Linked DNA regions of Neodiprion lecontei. Each later gene encodes a partner of the first gene's protein in a complex. Links are inferred from orthologs where the notes say so. Each region holds a gene or a part of one and is shown in the gene's direction. Other genes may lie near its edges.

What was found. Proteins that work in one complex are often made in the same cells at the same time.
Region 2: the proteins of ATP-dependent RNA helicase vasa (region 1) and protein gustavus are in contact, whole or in part, in a crystal structure (PDB 2IHS), measured with the Drosophila melanogaster proteins. The link is inferred for Neodiprion lecontei from reciprocal best matches to the Drosophila melanogaster genes vas and gus. Residues at the interface, in NP_001260458.1 of Drosophila melanogaster: Asp184, Ile185, Asn186, Asn187, Asn188, Asn189, Asn190, Val192, Glu193, Asp194, Val195, Glu196; in NP_001246140.1 of Drosophila melanogaster: Ser64, Leu65, Asn66, Arg79, His80, Pro81, Val82, Ala83, Ser85, Asp87, Gly112, Thr113, His127, Tyr131, Val218, Trp219, Gly220, His221.

Annotation. Positions count from the first base shown.
Region 1 is NC_060265.1:29,908,590-29,916,112, forward strand, and holds ATP-dependent RNA helicase vasa, read left to right. Parts: upstream 1-2,180; 5' UTR 2,181-2,319; exon of another isoform or gene 2,320-3,206; 5' UTR 3,207-3,214; coding exon 3,215-3,262; exon of another isoform or gene 3,263-3,480; intron 3,481-3,688; coding exon 3,689-5,506; intron 5,507-5,681; coding exon 5,682-5,765; 3' UTR 5,766-6,339; downstream 6,340-7,523. Other genes in the region: segmentation protein cap'n'collar, read right to left, coding at 6,704-6,931, 7,200-7,440. UniProt on the Drosophila melanogaster protein: Involved in translational control mechanisms operating in early stages of oogenesis.
Region 2 is NC_060260.1:35,167,333-35,176,085, forward strand, and holds protein gustavus, read left to right. Parts: upstream 1-2,492; 5' UTR 2,493-2,729; coding exon 2,730-2,754; intron 2,755-5,599; coding exon 5,600-5,829; intron 5,830-5,965; coding exon 5,966-6,296; intron 6,297-6,490; coding exon 6,491-6,649; intron 6,650-6,737; coding exon 6,738-6,877; 3' UTR 6,878-7,762; downstream 7,763-8,753. UniProt on the Drosophila melanogaster protein: Involved in the localization of vas to the posterior pole of the oocyte. Required maternally in the germ line for efficient primordial germ cell formation.

The DNA of each region.
Region 1 (7,523 bases):
GCCCTATAAAAAAAATATACGTATTTTCTGATAACGGCGTTGACCGATATCTTACTTCTCATTCTCGCAAAAACATCAGACTGCCAGCAATTGTCACAGTTATGAGAATATGCAAATGGCTAACGCTGTGCTTGGTGTTCGTTATATAGTAACAACAACAACAACATATTATAGTTTCTCCTTGTTTAAGTATATATATATCGAATGATTTCCCATGCAGTATAATCATAATACGATAATCAGCAACTTTGTATGCAACGTGAGGCTGGTACTCGCAGTTCTCTTGACGTGCTGTAAGCTTCAGCTGAAAAGGTCACGAGGATATCTGTGGTTAAAGATAGCGACAATGTATTGTCGCTTGAAATAATCGCGTAGGCACTTTGAAACGAGAGCTCCAATAACTTCGGCGATATGGGAATAAAAAATACGCGAGAGGAAAAGTGAACATGAGGAGACATATTTTTTTTTCTTTCAGTCAAAGACGCTGCATTCACCCACATTGTTTACAATACCGTAAGCGGCGTATACTTATCGTGTACAGATTTCGAGTAACGACTGTACCTACAATCTTCGCCTTACCGAGACTTTGATGTGGTTACTATTTGCATATGCGCAACATCCCAACAAACATAGAACTGCAAGGACATTGCGGCCTGCGAAGCACATTGTAAAATAGTACTGGCAATGAGTCAGCATTTTATGTATGTACGACAGTACTTCTACTGTTGCCGTGCAGTGCTTCTCATGAAAGATAAAAATATGAATTACTTAATATGACCCTCCCCCACCCCCCGATCCTCCCCCGCCTCCGCCGTCGCTTGCCTCTCCAAAATTAATGGCCCGTTACGAGTTCAGTTAAGGATACCCACACATGATTCTGGGTACATAATCTAGGTTACGTGTGATACGTATTCATACAATATAGACCAATTCGCGTAAAGCTGTTCAAATAATTGTAAACAGATATCGTTCGCTCGTCTCTGCCTATGTTTTCCTCCAGACGCTACGTGAAATTGTGGAAAAACGTTATATCATTCTTTGCATTACGTTGTTTAATCCAGAATTCAAATGCCAATGGAATAGTTTTGGGGCTCACTGTTTCACGCTTATATTACAGATCTTAAATCGTGTGTGAATGTAAATATATCGATAAAAATTGAATGATATATAATGCTCGATTTTATCTTTAACGGTTTAATTTTTTTGTTTTTAGAAAAATTTGCGTGATGTTATACAGAAATAAAGCATAAATTATAAGACAACTGATCCGTAGATCTGAGCTGTTATGAATATTTGACCAAATTTACGAAATTCAAAAACATCCCACCCTACAAATGTTCAGCTCACAGTACACGAACTGTAAATAAGTTACGTTTACGAGTTGACGGCCTCGTACGCTCAATTTCAGTTGAGCACGATACTAATTGGGTCAGCCGATCTGGTTTGAGGTTTGATAAGAAATAACCGATTTGCGTTCCAAGTCTTCCATCTGATTCGTTCATGTAGAATAGAGACAGAGAAAAAAGATCGGGGAGCCATCTCTGTCTCTCTGGAACGACGTACGTCCTACAGGAAGAGAAATTCGTCTCTGATCTTTCTTCTCTCTCTATTTATCGTACGCTTCAGCGCTGCCACACCTATCACAACAACCATAGTGAATTCGTTATCCCGATATGAACTCTGCACGATGGAAGCTTCAGCAATGATAACAATTTACTAAAACACAGATCTTTCAGCAGGATCCAGCTCCGATGTCATTGATATATCTATAGCGATATATTGCAACGTTTACTTCGAATTGATTTGATTCAGAAAATTTGTGCGAAAAGATAGTAGCCGTTGTAGTTACGATGAGAATTACTGTTTTTAATCGGAAAGTACCTTTAGGTAGATCCAGAAGTAATTCTCGATGTTGATTGGGCGTTATTCTCATTCAACGGTCCGAAGTATGGAACAGAATATTTGCGCAGTGCTGAAACGCCTCCGTTAGCGACGCCCTTGCGGCATGAGTCGCAGTTTGGATTGACGCATGCGCAATACGGCGTTTGGGAAGGTTCGGTGGGTTCGATACACGGCGGCGGGAACCGGTTAAGCCTGAAGTTGCCGAGTCAGATTGGCTCGACGCTTTGTCCGTTGAGCTTGTCTTTTTCTCCCGTGAGACGTTGCGAGTTTTGTTTGCTGTAGGATCGGCACAACACTACGTCTACGCTTTCGGAAGAGAAGGCATCTATCTGTGAAGCAGATATTATTTGCCAGTTGACGATCCTGTTAGCTGTAATCTTATCGAAAAACATTCTATCTACGCGAAATACACACCTAGTAAGTACGCCATCATTGTTTCCTAAAATACACCAGGTGCAGTGCCGAATCGAATGATTTCTTCCAGCACGTGTTGGCATCCTTCTCGAAAATTCCACGATTCCTCACCCTTCCGTCTTTCGAAAAGTCGACACTTCTCACGATTGATCCTTTTACTTACTATCGGTTATTATAAATCACCACGTATAACCGTGACTTGACCGGGTTGATTTTCATCAAATTCGGTTTAGTTCTACATTCTCAGGTGGTAAAATTTTGCAAGATACTTTTTGCCCTTTGCGATCGTGCTATTTTTTCAACCTCCGCGTGTCTACTAGATAATTATAGAATAAAATTATTCAAGCTGATTGTACTGCGAGTCAAGCCCATACGAAACTATCGAGCGTGTCAACCTCTCACATTATAATTCGCGATTTTTAAAACTAGTACGACGGGTTCTTGAAAACGAATGTTTTTTTGCTGTTCCCCCACGTGGTCCACTTGATACTTTAGCGAAACGTACGCGTCATAGAATACGAATTTGTTGAATTATTAGAAATCTTGGGTCAAGTGAAACTAAAAATACTTTGTCAATCTCTGAGTATCATCACGACACATCAAACGATAATCGGTATATATTGTCAGTGAAAAATTCGTCAAACAGATGATGAAGCTAACGTAAAAGAGAAAATTATACTTCATTTGTACACATTTGAAATATTCACCAAAATAAGTTAATCCGATTGTGAAAAAACCACTATTATCTTCTGTGTACCAAATCACGATTTCGATAGGACTGTGATTATTAATTAACATGCTTGAATTTGGCTAACTTCTCTTGATAGTGAATCTTGAAAATTTCATCAAAAATTTATTTTAAAAGTAATTAATTTTTCTTCCCTCGCTAGGCTCAATAATGGACGAGTGGGACGATAATGACTCTACGCCAGTATGTACTGGAGAGGTGAGAATATTCTCTGAATCTGTATTAATGATTGGGCTTGATTTTCAAAAGGTCTTAAAAGTCAAATGAATTTAATTTAAAACAAGTTAAATGATGATACAACATATATTCTTTTGATATCTTATAAAGTTGAATTCGCAGTTGGAAAGTGCTTGTTAAGCAATCTACCAATGTGTATTGGGAAGGGAGTCTGGCATATCTTGTGTATATCGGGTGTGTACACCTCCTGCTGTTCTGTTTTTCCTTCTCATTTGCATTGAGTGTGATGAGCTTGAAAGAAATCTAAACCCTGAGTAAAATAGTCTGCAATTTTTTATTTTTCTTTTCATTCCGTTCCTACAATATTATTCTCATGCTTATCTGCAGCCATATGTGCAACTTTGTTCAAATTTTAACTAATCCCAAGTTTTTATTTTTCTGAATTAGTATACTGACGAGGGACGCAGCTATGGCAAGGGTCGTGGTTTCAAACCACGAAGTAATAACGGTGAATGGGGAGGAGAAAGCACCAATGGATTTGACAATGGAGGGGAACATGAGGACTCGGACAGACGTGGTGGTCGAGGTGGAGGCAGAGGACGTGGGGGTGGAAGAGGCGGTGGTGCTTACAGAGGAGGCCGTGATGGTGGAAGTAGATATGGAGATGGGGATGATGACAATAACGGTGACGATGGAGGATCCCGCAGAGGAAGAGGTGGTTACAGAGGTGGTCGCGGTGGAAGTAGATATGCCGATGCAGATGAGGATGCTAATGGCGAGGATGGAGGATCTCGCAGAGGAAGAGGCGGTGGGAGAGGTGGAGGTCGAGGTGGTAGGAGAGATGACGACAATGGTGGGGGCAGTGGCGGAGAAGAAAATGGAGACAAACCAGCACCTGTTGTCTATATTCCGCCGGAACCATCAAATGAAGACGCAGACATTTTTGGTACTGGCGTAGAGATGGGGATAAATTTTGATGCGTACGACAAGATTGAAGTAAGCGTTAGTGGTGAAAATGCACCACAACCTATAAACACTTTCGACGAAGCTGGCCTGAGAAGCCTTCTATTAGAGAACATCAGGAAATCAGGATATACAAAGCCTACGCCTATTCAAAAGTATGCGATACCAATAGTCATGCAAAATCGAGATTTGATGGCCTGTGCTCAAACTGGTTCTGGAAAAACTGCGGCATTTATGGTACCAATTGTGAACACACTATTGAACGAGCCGAAAGAATTGGTGGTTGATAACTTCCATTGTGAACCACAAGCTGTCATAGTCGCGCCTACACGTGAGCTTGCTACGCAAATCTTCGATCAAGCGAGAAAGTTTGCAAAAGATTCCATTCTGAGGTGTGTCAATATTTATGGAGGGACTGCAACCAGTCACCAGAGAAGCCAAGTGCTCCGTGGCTGCCACATATTGGTTGCGACAACCGGTCGACTAATGGATTTCGTCCAACGAGGATGCGTGAAGTTCAATTCTGTGCGCTTCTTTGTTCTCGATGAAGCTGACCGGATGTTAGACATGGGTTTTATAGGAGACATAGAAAAGATTCTGGATGACGAATCTATGGTAAAAGGAAAAGATCGACAAACTTTGATGTTTTCTGCTACATTCCCTGCCGCGATCCAAGAATTAGCTGGCCGATTCATGGATAACTATTTGTTCCTTGCTGTCGGGATAATTGGTGGAGCCTGCCAAGATGTCGAGCAGAACTTTTACGAGGTTAGCAAGTTTAAGAAACGAGAAAAATTGAGGGAAACCTTGGAAGCCGAGAAAGATAAAGGCGAGATTCAACGTACACTAGTATTTGTGGAAATGAAACGTACGGCAGATTTCATTGCTGCATTTCTATCAGACAACAATTATCCAACGACTTCTATTCATGGTGACCGTGAACAGCGGGAGAGAGAGGATGCACTTCGTGATTTTAAATCTGGAAAAATGCCGATTCTAGTTGCAACGGCCGTTGCTGCCAGAGGTCTTGATATCAAAGGTGTGGCCCACGTCATTAACTTTGACATGCCCAAGGAAATCGATGAGTACGTTCACCGTATTGGTCGTACTGGGCGTGTTGGCAATCGCGGCCGTGCAACGAGTTTCTTTGACTCGGAAACAGATTCAGGGATCGTAGTTGATCTAGTCAAGATTTTGAAGCAGGCTAACCAATCAATTCCAGCGTGGCTCGAATCTGGTGGTGGAGGGGGCAGCTATGCTCCAGGCAGATCCAGCAAGTTTGGTGGCAGAGACGTTCGCAGAGTGAGTAAAAATTATTTTAGGAATGTATACAGCAATCTGGGTTTTGACTAGAACTGGATAATGAACGTCAAATATTTAAAAACGTATTAATTATTTTTATAAACTGCTGCGGTATTCAAGTTTAAAGAAGTTTGTGAAGTACTTTGATCTGATTCGAAATTTTGTTGTTTTACAGTTTGAAAATGATGGCGGAGAGGGGGACTCATACCCAGAGAGCGCTTACGCTTCAGCTCCCGCCGAAGCTGAAGAAGCATGGTAGTGATACATACCAAGTGATACATACCAAGTGATACCAGGAATGTAACATATATTCCACATTTAGATCTAGCCAATAAGTCTAATTAGGTATAAGCGATTTGAGCAAAGACTAAATGTAAAGCTATAAACACTTAGCTTTACGTGACAAGTGGATGGGTGCTAGGCACTAAATTTACCATTAAACGTACAAAGATAGTATTTTAAGATGTTACGTTAGTAAGCGAGTCTGGATTTGACCGCTAAAGATTGATAAACACATTTTTTTGATTTGGGCTGTATACATCTGAAAAAAAAAAATTTATTCAAGGGTCTCGTGTCACCACAAATGATTAATATTCTCTTAGTTTTATTATAACATATTGACTCATTACAAAATTTCATTTTAAAATGAGAGTTATCTGGTGTTCAGTTAAATAGAGTCAGTAAAAATCTGGCGACACATGAACAATTTGAATAAATTTCTTTCCGCGGTGTATCATAACCTCTTCGCGTTGACAAAAAATATTGTTTTTTTGTGGGATTATTTTTATATACCTTTTTTTATGATAATAAAATAAATTTTCTTTTATAATTAATGATTCGTGTCTCATGATTACTTTCATTTCAAATATCCTTTCCCAGATCGCATTATAAGTTGTATGAAGTGAAAAATTTGTCGACGTATCAAAAAGTAGTTAATCAATTGATGAGTTGAATGAATTTTTCTTTCAAGTTTTGACACAAGATAAATTCAAGTTTTACATTACGATTCAGCCACTTTGAATTTCATTCACGTCGAGTGATTATTATTCACACAGTTATTTCTGAAAGAATCTTATCCATGCAATCAAAATTCCCAATTTCATCTCGTTCAAAAACATCGTAGATACTGGTTTTTCTCACCACTTGAAGGATTTTTAATGCTGTTTGTATCATGTAGCGAAACACAAGGGTACTTACCATCGTTCATGGCCATGTCCATGAGGTGCAAGTCCTCATCGTTGAGGAGCGACGAAAGGAATCCATCGGTGGTTTGGTTAATGGAATCCGAGGAGGGTGCATGGTAGTACATCATATCGTTCGGCTCAGCCTTGTAAGAACCAGAATTGTCCGCTCCACCCATTGGTTCACTGCTGTTGGTCAAATTCATCGAAGTCGCCACTGCTGATCCAAGATTCGACGGACCCCCTGCATCAGTGAGCAGTTTAGTTCAGACAAAAGGGAGAAAAAAAATTCAAACGAAATAGCAACGTAAATTTATTTTTTGATTTTTTCTTATCGTTAGCAAAACCGAGTTAGTATCGTATACTTTGATTACAACATTGATCGTGGATATTGTTGAATACTTCACTTGTTACGAGGGACGGAACTCTTCTTAAATAAAATATTTTCAGGGAAACGGAATGCTGATTTTGTGTAGCGATACGCTGCAAAATTCAACATCGACGATACTCACCAACATTATGATGAGGATAAGGTCCGGTTGAGTTGAGATCTCCGACTGGTGGGGCGAGAGTTGCATTGTGCAGCAATACGTTACGCTGTGCCTCGTAGTGGCTATGTGATATACCGTGGCCTGGATATCCTGGGTGTCCCGGATGAGCGAAGTGGTCCGGAGCACCCGGAAGCGAAAGTAGTGAAGCCAAATCCTGCCATCGCTGTTCCATGCTCATTGCGCGCACAAAGGGCATACGGCCCTGAAAGCAAAACAGTTTTTCCTTCGATCACGCAACAGTTTATTGGTTACAAGGAAGTTTATATTGTGCTTAACCAAAATTTC
Region 2 (8,753 bases), on another chromosome or scaffold:
GTATGGGTCTCTGAAACTGATTGTTAGTATTTACTGGAAACACAAACTCTTGCTTTTGAAATTACAGTAACGGGTTGTCCGTGAATATAGTTTTTTTTTTTTTTTTTTTTTATTTACTTTTTCCTTAAAACTCAATCAGAACACGCAAATTCATAGTTTTAGTCTCGTTCTTTAAAACAAATACAATGTATAATGTAATATTATAAACCCTTCGGTAACAAATTTATATGAAAGTTTGTCATTTGGCATTTTGCTATGCGACCTCTCAAAGTTGCGAGATGCTCGCCGTCCCGTTTATGGACGGATATTGGTGCAAGATGTGGCTGTCGCAAGCACGCGAAGTCCAGACGTGGTCAAGGTAACAAAAATCTGGCCCAGAAGTGTATTATAGAGAGTGAGTGAGTTGACATTTGTCCCTGATATTTATCTCACTGCTATTATACGTACAGTCTCTTTACACAAGACTGTGATGTTAGTTTTATCCTATTTTCACCAGATTTTTCTCGTCTGTCCGATCATTTGGTTATTCCATATATTTTTGGTACAGTTTAATGAAAATTCTAGATGCCTTAGGGAGTTCAAACATGCCGAATAACGAATCTGCCGTACAATGCCACAATGTCGAACCGATCGTAAGCGAGGTGCATCATTGCGAAAAGAGTAGTAAAAAAAAAAGGAAGACGAAACAAAAAAAAAAGTTAATTGCTCACCTTTCACTTACCACAGACGAGTTGATTCGATTCGCAATCAGCAATCTAACGGAACCTTTGCACGGACTGTTGTTTCACTTTTTCTTTTTTTTTTTTCTCAATTTATTTCTTCATTCATTTTCTTCTCTATACCGTCTCGACACCGCATATAGCGTTTCTCCTATTTTTTATGATTAAACTGAAATTTTAACGCTTCGTTAAAGAAACTTCTCATTCGGTACAGTTTATTTGTAATTTTTTTTTTCAAAAGTATGCTATGTACCCAATTATTAAACGATTTCACAACATTCGTCTTTGTTTCCTATAGGCTTTTAGTTTATTTTAATTTTATTTTTATCATTTAAAAGAGGAAATATATAAAGTGGAAAAAACTTATGAAGAACGATTGTCCGTCCCGGTCTTTTCATTCTCCAAATGGCATTCTATGTAATATTATATGTACCAAAGTTTCGCGTCTTGATCTTTTCTGCGACGAAACTTTCCGTAACAAAATTCGACACCGTTGCAGCTGAAACCAGGAGAAAACTCCGCTCTTGGATAATATAAAAACCTTCTGACGTGGGCTAACTTTGTCGGACAATATGGTGATTCGTTTGAAATACGGTACAACAATAGATAACTTTCAACAATGAAAACTCTGTGACGTACGTTACACATGATCTCGCGTATTAAATTCAACGCATAACAATGTAACCTGCGAACGCTCAGGTGTAGTTGAAATTTGCACGTATAACGTAGTGAAATGATATGGATATAAACTTGCTGTATACCCGATGTAATCAAAGTCTCGAATTGCTTCTGTATAAATCGCGGATGGCAAAATACCGCGTGCTTTGTAACACGTGCTGCATGCACAGAATCCACCTTCGCTGTACGTGCAGTGAGAAAATATTTACCGATGTTGCGTGGTAACATTGATTAAAGCGAGCTTACACTGTGAATCATTGGAGATGAAATTTCAACTTGGAATCATCAATTTTTAGTCGTGCAACTTGAGCTCGATTGCATAAAAAATTGAGCCAAAGCTAGCATTTAGAGTTAGCAACCAAACGTGTTGGATTTTTTGTAAATATAAAAATGCCGTTCAGTTTTATCCTGATAATTCTATAAAAGTATCGGAGATTCATGGTATTTCACAAAATTTTATTATTTGGTCTTCAACTCTACCCTATTCGATTGAACATTAAAACGTTTGGCTGTTAATTCCAGCTGCTAGGTTCAGCCTCGTGCATAAAAAGTCTCCTACAGTTTTACGTATACGCTTGAGTTTGTCAACTATGTTTAAGTGCCGATGAAACACATTGTTAAATAAATTTTCAACGCATTACATATGAATTGCAAGAGCTCTAAATGTGAAGGTTGTAATCCATTTAAAATAAAAATGACAGTACGTTGCCTTTTTGCATTTTAAATCTTGAATTTTTTATCGGCTTGTACAATACATCCTTAAAAACGACCTATAACATAATCTTCGTTAATAACGTGTTACAGCTGTTGATTTACGCGATGGTTGAATTTAGAAAGGTTACGGGTCGTCTTGACACCTGGATATTGCGTCTTTTATTACAGGCAACTACCCACATTAACCCGGCATAGCAATATATATATACTGACGTTTGTTTTTTCGACCATTGTTACAGGTATAAAGCGAGTCGTTGCGTTAGCGGGGGCGGAAGCCGCGGCAGCGGGGCAACTGGGGCAACTGGAGGAACCGGGGGAAGCGGGGGTCTTGGAAGCGGGGGGGCGGTAGGAGGCCGCGGAGGGGGAGGAGGCGGAGGAGGGGGAGGCGGAGGCGGAGGCGGAGGCGGAGGAGGCGGGTTGGACGGGGGTGCTACGCCACCGGCCACCGGGTATCACCACCACCACCATCACCACACAACTACGACGACGACGACGACGACGACGACAGGGACACGCCACCACAGACACAAGCTGCCCGCGGGGAAGCTGTGCAGCGATCACCGTCACCACCCTCACCATCACCGGCATCATCCCCACCATCGATCCCACCACCGTGGCATGAACATGGGCCAAAAGATTTCAGGTCAGATTATATATTCGATTGGGTTTAAGAAACTTTTCCGATCCGTATTACGGTGGCTCGGATTTATACGTTATACGTATGGTTTTATTTGCGGTATCATGAAGAGCTAGTCACCCCTGAGGAAATCAACACGGAAAATAACCACAGTTTTATAAATTAGATTTAGTGTGTACCCGCGCGCGTTTCGAAAAGTCGCGTAGCTTGGAATCGAATCGGAGATGTGATTTTTTGCCGCAAATCGAGGAACGCAATTAAACTTGGATGATATGTTTCAGCGTGTTATGTATGATATGACGATGTTCGAATTGGAAACAGCGTATACACGACGGACGGGATTGCATTTTGAAAGTTGCGATTGACCCTAACATCGTATTAAAGTTTCCAAACGTATGTGGTTGAATTTACGATGCACGAACTGTTGAAAATTTTTTTCATTTTTTTTCATTTTATCGAACAGAGATCAGTCGACGAGTTGTACCTTTGTGAAAGTTTTTCCGTTGTTACGTACTACGTATAACAATACACACGTAGACGATGCATCATAGAAGGAGGATGTAGAGCGCAAGAAGGATCGGTGTTAATCTTAGTCGACATCAAGGGCTGCCTTGACACCTTCCAGCTGTGGTGTCGTATCGAAGAATTTACGATTGCGGCGAGGATCAGGGCCTAGTTTATTATACCCTAGAAATCGAGATGGGCCACGGGGTCAGAGCTTTGGGGGGGGGGGGTTCGTCGGGGCCTCGAAAGAGACTTCTGCACGGAGGGTTGGCTACCCTCCACGGCCGAAGGTTCGACCCTTCGAACCTTTCAGACCGCAGAGACAGCTGCGCAAGCAAGTACCGCACTTCAGCCTCCCTGTATTTCCTTCTCGCCCTGCAGCCTTCGGCTCAGACGTCGACCTTCTTCTTCCAAAGAGATATATTATACGTTATACTACGGTTTCCGAGGGATCTCGAGAACCACGAGTTCCCGGCTTCTTTACCCCGAGGGCGGGATTCTACGAGACACTTTCCTGATGTACAAACTCACGGACGGAGACCTGTGCAATCGTGCCACTGTACCTTAGTTTTCCTCGATTCACGTCCTGCCCTAAATTCTCAGATATCAGGTATTTTGAATCCTTGTTATACTTTCTCTCGGGTGGTTCTTGAACAGTTTGTTGTTACTGTGTATTAAATTAATTCTACTACAGATAGGTATTTTTTCACATCTTTTTTGACTAAGCTATCATGCTGTGATTTCTGTTTGTTCCTTTACCACGGAATTTCATTGGTCACCCTCAGACCGTAACCGCAATCGATTCTTCCGTTACGTCCCAGCCGATAATCACGGCGGTATCGTCTCTGCGTCGTAACTTACTGACGTGCAATCGCCATAAAAGAGCTCTTCCAAATCGATCTACACAGTTAACACCATAGTTAACAATACTTTTCTATCGACAATTCTCACAGATCATACCATATTTTATTTTACAAACCCTGCTCACATCTACGCTCAAATCTACGAGCAACTTATACATAAAATTCACATTTAACTATTATATCTTTGAAACGCATGATCAGAATTCGCAAACCTCGGAGTAACGAATAGCCACGATAGTGATAGTGATGGTTGGCACGACCCACAACAACCCAATTCCTGATTTAGACAAGCTGAATGAGAAATCGACACGAGCGGATCATCGAAGTTCGTGAACCTGGAGACAACGAGGTCTGTAAGTCGAGCTTGATAACGCAGTAACACTTCCTACCCAGCAGCAATTTTTCGCCAAACGTACAACACAAATTGTCGATTATTTCCCATTTCATTCGCTTTTGCGATCGCGGTGGTACAGGTTTCGTTTCATCGTCGGTGCAACTGAAGGATTGACAAATTTTTTACCGCATCAGAAACACCGGTCGTCATCTTGACGACTATCGTAGATGAAATGTCACCTACTTCCTCGATTTGGCGCCCATGGACAGGTGCTTGAAATATGGAAACGAGCGTGAATGCCTCCGCTGGTTCGTTTTACATACGCTCAAGTCGGAAAATATCTGGCATATCAATGAGACATAAAACAGGCGAGACTGAAGAAAAAGAAACATAAATCTAACGTATGCAGTATCGCATTGCGTGTCAGCCGTACGAGAGTCAGATATTTCAATTTCGGTCAAAAGTTCACTCCGATAAGTGCGTCTCGAAAAACGATAGAAGCGCGTTTGGCTCTTTCACGTTCCACCGAAAGCGAAACTCACGCATATACGTTGGGTTAAAATAACGTTAACGACGGCGCAAGCAGGGCACGTGGAAACGTGCAAAGGTGCGTATAGGTAGGTACAGGTACCGATATGTCGACAGTGATGTTTGCGCAGCCTTGTAATTGGCAGACTGTGTTTGCAAAATGAAGGCTCTCAACAAATATTCTACGCGCTGTAGTTTAAATGCTGACATTCCCGATCGGTGCATGTGTGACATAAATTCGGGACCTTCGGAACGATAGGTAAAGAGAGAGCGCGTATCGCACGTACATGGAATATATGCCTTCGTCAAAAATATTGCAGTATTAAAGCGACGAACAAATAGCAATAGTCTGTATGTACTAGACCTACGTCTAGGCGACAGAATCATGGCAGCTGTGCAATTTTTTTTCCTCCGGTTTTTTGCGTCTCCATCCCTCTTTCTCTCTCTCTCTCTCTCTCTCTCTCTCTCTCTCTCTCTCTCTCTCTCTCTCTCTCTCTCTCTCTCTCTCTCTCTCTCTCTCTCTCTCTCTCTCTCTCTCTCTCTCTCTCTCTCTCTCTCTCTCTCCCTCCCTCCCTCCCCCTCACTCTTGGTCTCCCTAATTCATGCATACGTGGAATTACAGGCGGCGTGAAGAGCGTGACACGTGACAGCGGTGCGGGAACTGGAGGCGGCGTAGGTGTTGTTGGCAGCGGAGCAGTCACGTACAAGCCTGTTGTACCCAGAGAACTGGCGCAGGATTTTTCGCGTCCAGCTCGCCTGGATGTCCTCCTCGACATGCCGCCCGCTTCGAGAGAGACGCAGATCAGTCATAGCTGGAACGCCGATGACCGTAGTCTCAATATATTCGTCAAGGTAGGTTTCGGAAAAAATTCCCAGAATAGAGGATACCTTCGTCTTTCCCGGATGAGAATGACCCTTTTCACTCTTCTCAACATTCCGCAGTGTAGTTGGTTTTATCGGAGTTTAAAGAAAAAAAAAAAAATTTCAGGATGACGACAAGTTGACGTTTCATCGCCACCCCGTAGCGCAGAGCACGGATTGCATACGAGGGCGCATCGGGTACACGAAGGGTCTCCACGTGTGGGAATTACACTGGAGTACGCGACAGCGAGGAACGCACGCTGTTGTCGGTGTGGCGACCGCGGAAGCACCCCTTCATAGTGTCGGCTACCAAAGTCTAGTGGGCAACAATCAGCTCAGCTGGGGTTGGGATCTAGGTAGAAACAAACTCTATCACGATGCGAAAAACAATAACGGAGTGACGTATCCTGCCCTTTTGAAACCGGATGAAACTTTCATCGTTCCTGACAAATTTCTGGGTGAGCTTTTTTTTTATCAAGTCTACTTTTCTTTATTCTCAATGTTTTCAAAGCTTTCGAGGATTTAACTGGCACAATTTCGAACCGTGCTTATTGAGTCTTGCGAAAGTAAATCGTCAAATTTGGTCAATTTTGTAATTATAAAAAGGAATAGCAAACTTTTACGACAATAGTTAACGGGAGTACAATTTCAGTGGTCCTGGACATGGATGAAGGTACGTTATCCTTCGTTGTAGACGGTCAGTACTTGGGAGTAGCATTCAGAGGACTGAAAGGAAGAAAACTTCATCCGATAGTTTCAGCAGTTTGGGGACATTGTGAAATCACGATGAAATACATCGGAGGCCTTGATCGTGAGTCTCGGAGTAATATTTATTTCAAATCATTCATTACCGAACTTCGAAGAGAAGTAACTTCATCGCGCTTTCATTGAATTTACAGCCGAACCTCTACCCCTGATGGACCTCTGCCGGAGAGTAATTCGAAAACGGGTCGGTAAGCAGAGACTAGAGGTCAGAATCAACGAGCTAAGACTGCCCCAGGCAATAAAAACGTACCTCCTCTACCGGGACAGAAGGTAACCACAGAGTGATCTTCCGGCTTCATCTCGCATCAGCATCAGCAACTACGACCACGACACCAACAACCATGAAGTGACAGAGATAATAGATGATGATAGTACCATTGCCGATGATACGCAACGGGAAGCATTTACAGTAATCTCTCCCGCCTCTGATCGACTGAATTCTTAGAAAAAAGACCACGTGTGTCGCGAACGGTCATTAATCGACAAGACACACACGCCGCACCTAAAAACTGAATCGAAATTCCAAAGTTCTTTATTATTTTTGTAATTTTGTTGTTTCTTTCTGTTTTTCGAGTTGGATTGGGTCGGGAGTTGGGTCAATCGAGGAAGATCGATTATTAATATTAAGTCTAGTCTGTCGTGTTTCTCTTTATAGTGTTCGATAATACGCATCAGCAGCACACAACGTGCGTAGGATCCTCTATACATATATATATACATACACACAAATATATATACATGTGTGTGTATGTGTGTGTGTATACGTATATATATATATATATATACACGTGCATACACAGTTATATGGTATATATATATATATATAATCTTCCAGACGACTGTCTAAAATATCTAGACAGAAATGGTTAAAATAAAGTAAAACAAGAACAAGAAATGAACTAACTAATAAGAAAAAGAGAATTTTCCTCTGCCAAAATTTATAGTAACAAAAATTGGGTTTATACACGTTGAAGAAATTGGAAAACAAAATGAATCAGCAACAGTTGCAAGTGTTGTCAGATAATTATAGTGGCATTAAAGGTCTTATGGAAAACAGTATCGATACCTACATCTACTGTAAAGAATTACTCTTCTTCCTTCGAACGCTTCGGAAAAAAAAAAAGAAAAAAAAGAAAGAAGGAAGTTAGTACACTTCGCCGAAGAGACAATGAAGAAAGAACAGATGAAAATTTGTTGGAAAAAAAAAAATACCCAGAAAAAAACTTTTAGAAAAAAAAAAACATTAAATGAATTAATTGAAGAAACGTATGCACAAAAAGCTAAACTATTAGGTGATATTATTGTTTTATGTTGTCCTTACGATTAAAATCGTAGAGCATTTATTAATTGTTATTACACCAACGGGATTGCGTTGGACGCTTCACATCACATGTATCCGCGTTTTTTTTAATTTTTTTGTTTAATACGTTGTTAGATTATAAAAGAAAAATGAAGATTTAAAAAACGCGAAAAGCCAAAATTGTAACGTGTTCGCGTAAAGGTGATGTGTGGGGCAGATCACAAGTAAAACCGGTTCGGGGGTGAGGGAGAGATACCAAAACACACGAACATTTTTGATCAGCAACTCGGCGGCGCTCCACGGTTGGCCAGTAAAATAAAAAGTTAGACTTAGTCGAGCCCGGATGCCGCAAAGCGCGAGTTTCTTTAATCAAATGAACGACAAAAGAAGAAAAAACCAAACAGAATGACCCAAATAAAACCAAACTTTGTAATTTTAACGGGAATGACCAGCAACGACGAATAGTAGTGAGGGAAGAGAGTAAGAGAAGATGACAAAAAAATTATAAAATGAAATCTGTGTGTAGTAGTGTGACAACTGCAGCTGAAATCGCCTGAGCCACCTTTTCAACGGACTCAAATTTGTTTCAAGTATTTTATAAGTATGCTCTAGATGTAACTAACTGCAGTGGTAAATCTTAGCAAGGAGTCAGAAATGACGGGAGATTGAAGGAAATGGTTGGCATAAAGAGCGAGAAAAAAGAAGAGGGAGCGAGCGACTGATATCTAGAGAAATAAAAGTGGAGAGAGAGTGGTAAAGAAATCGAAAGAGAAAATATATGTATAGGCGACAGACTATTGCATGAAAGGCAAGAATCAACCATCCGGTGAAATTTCTTATAGAAAAAAAA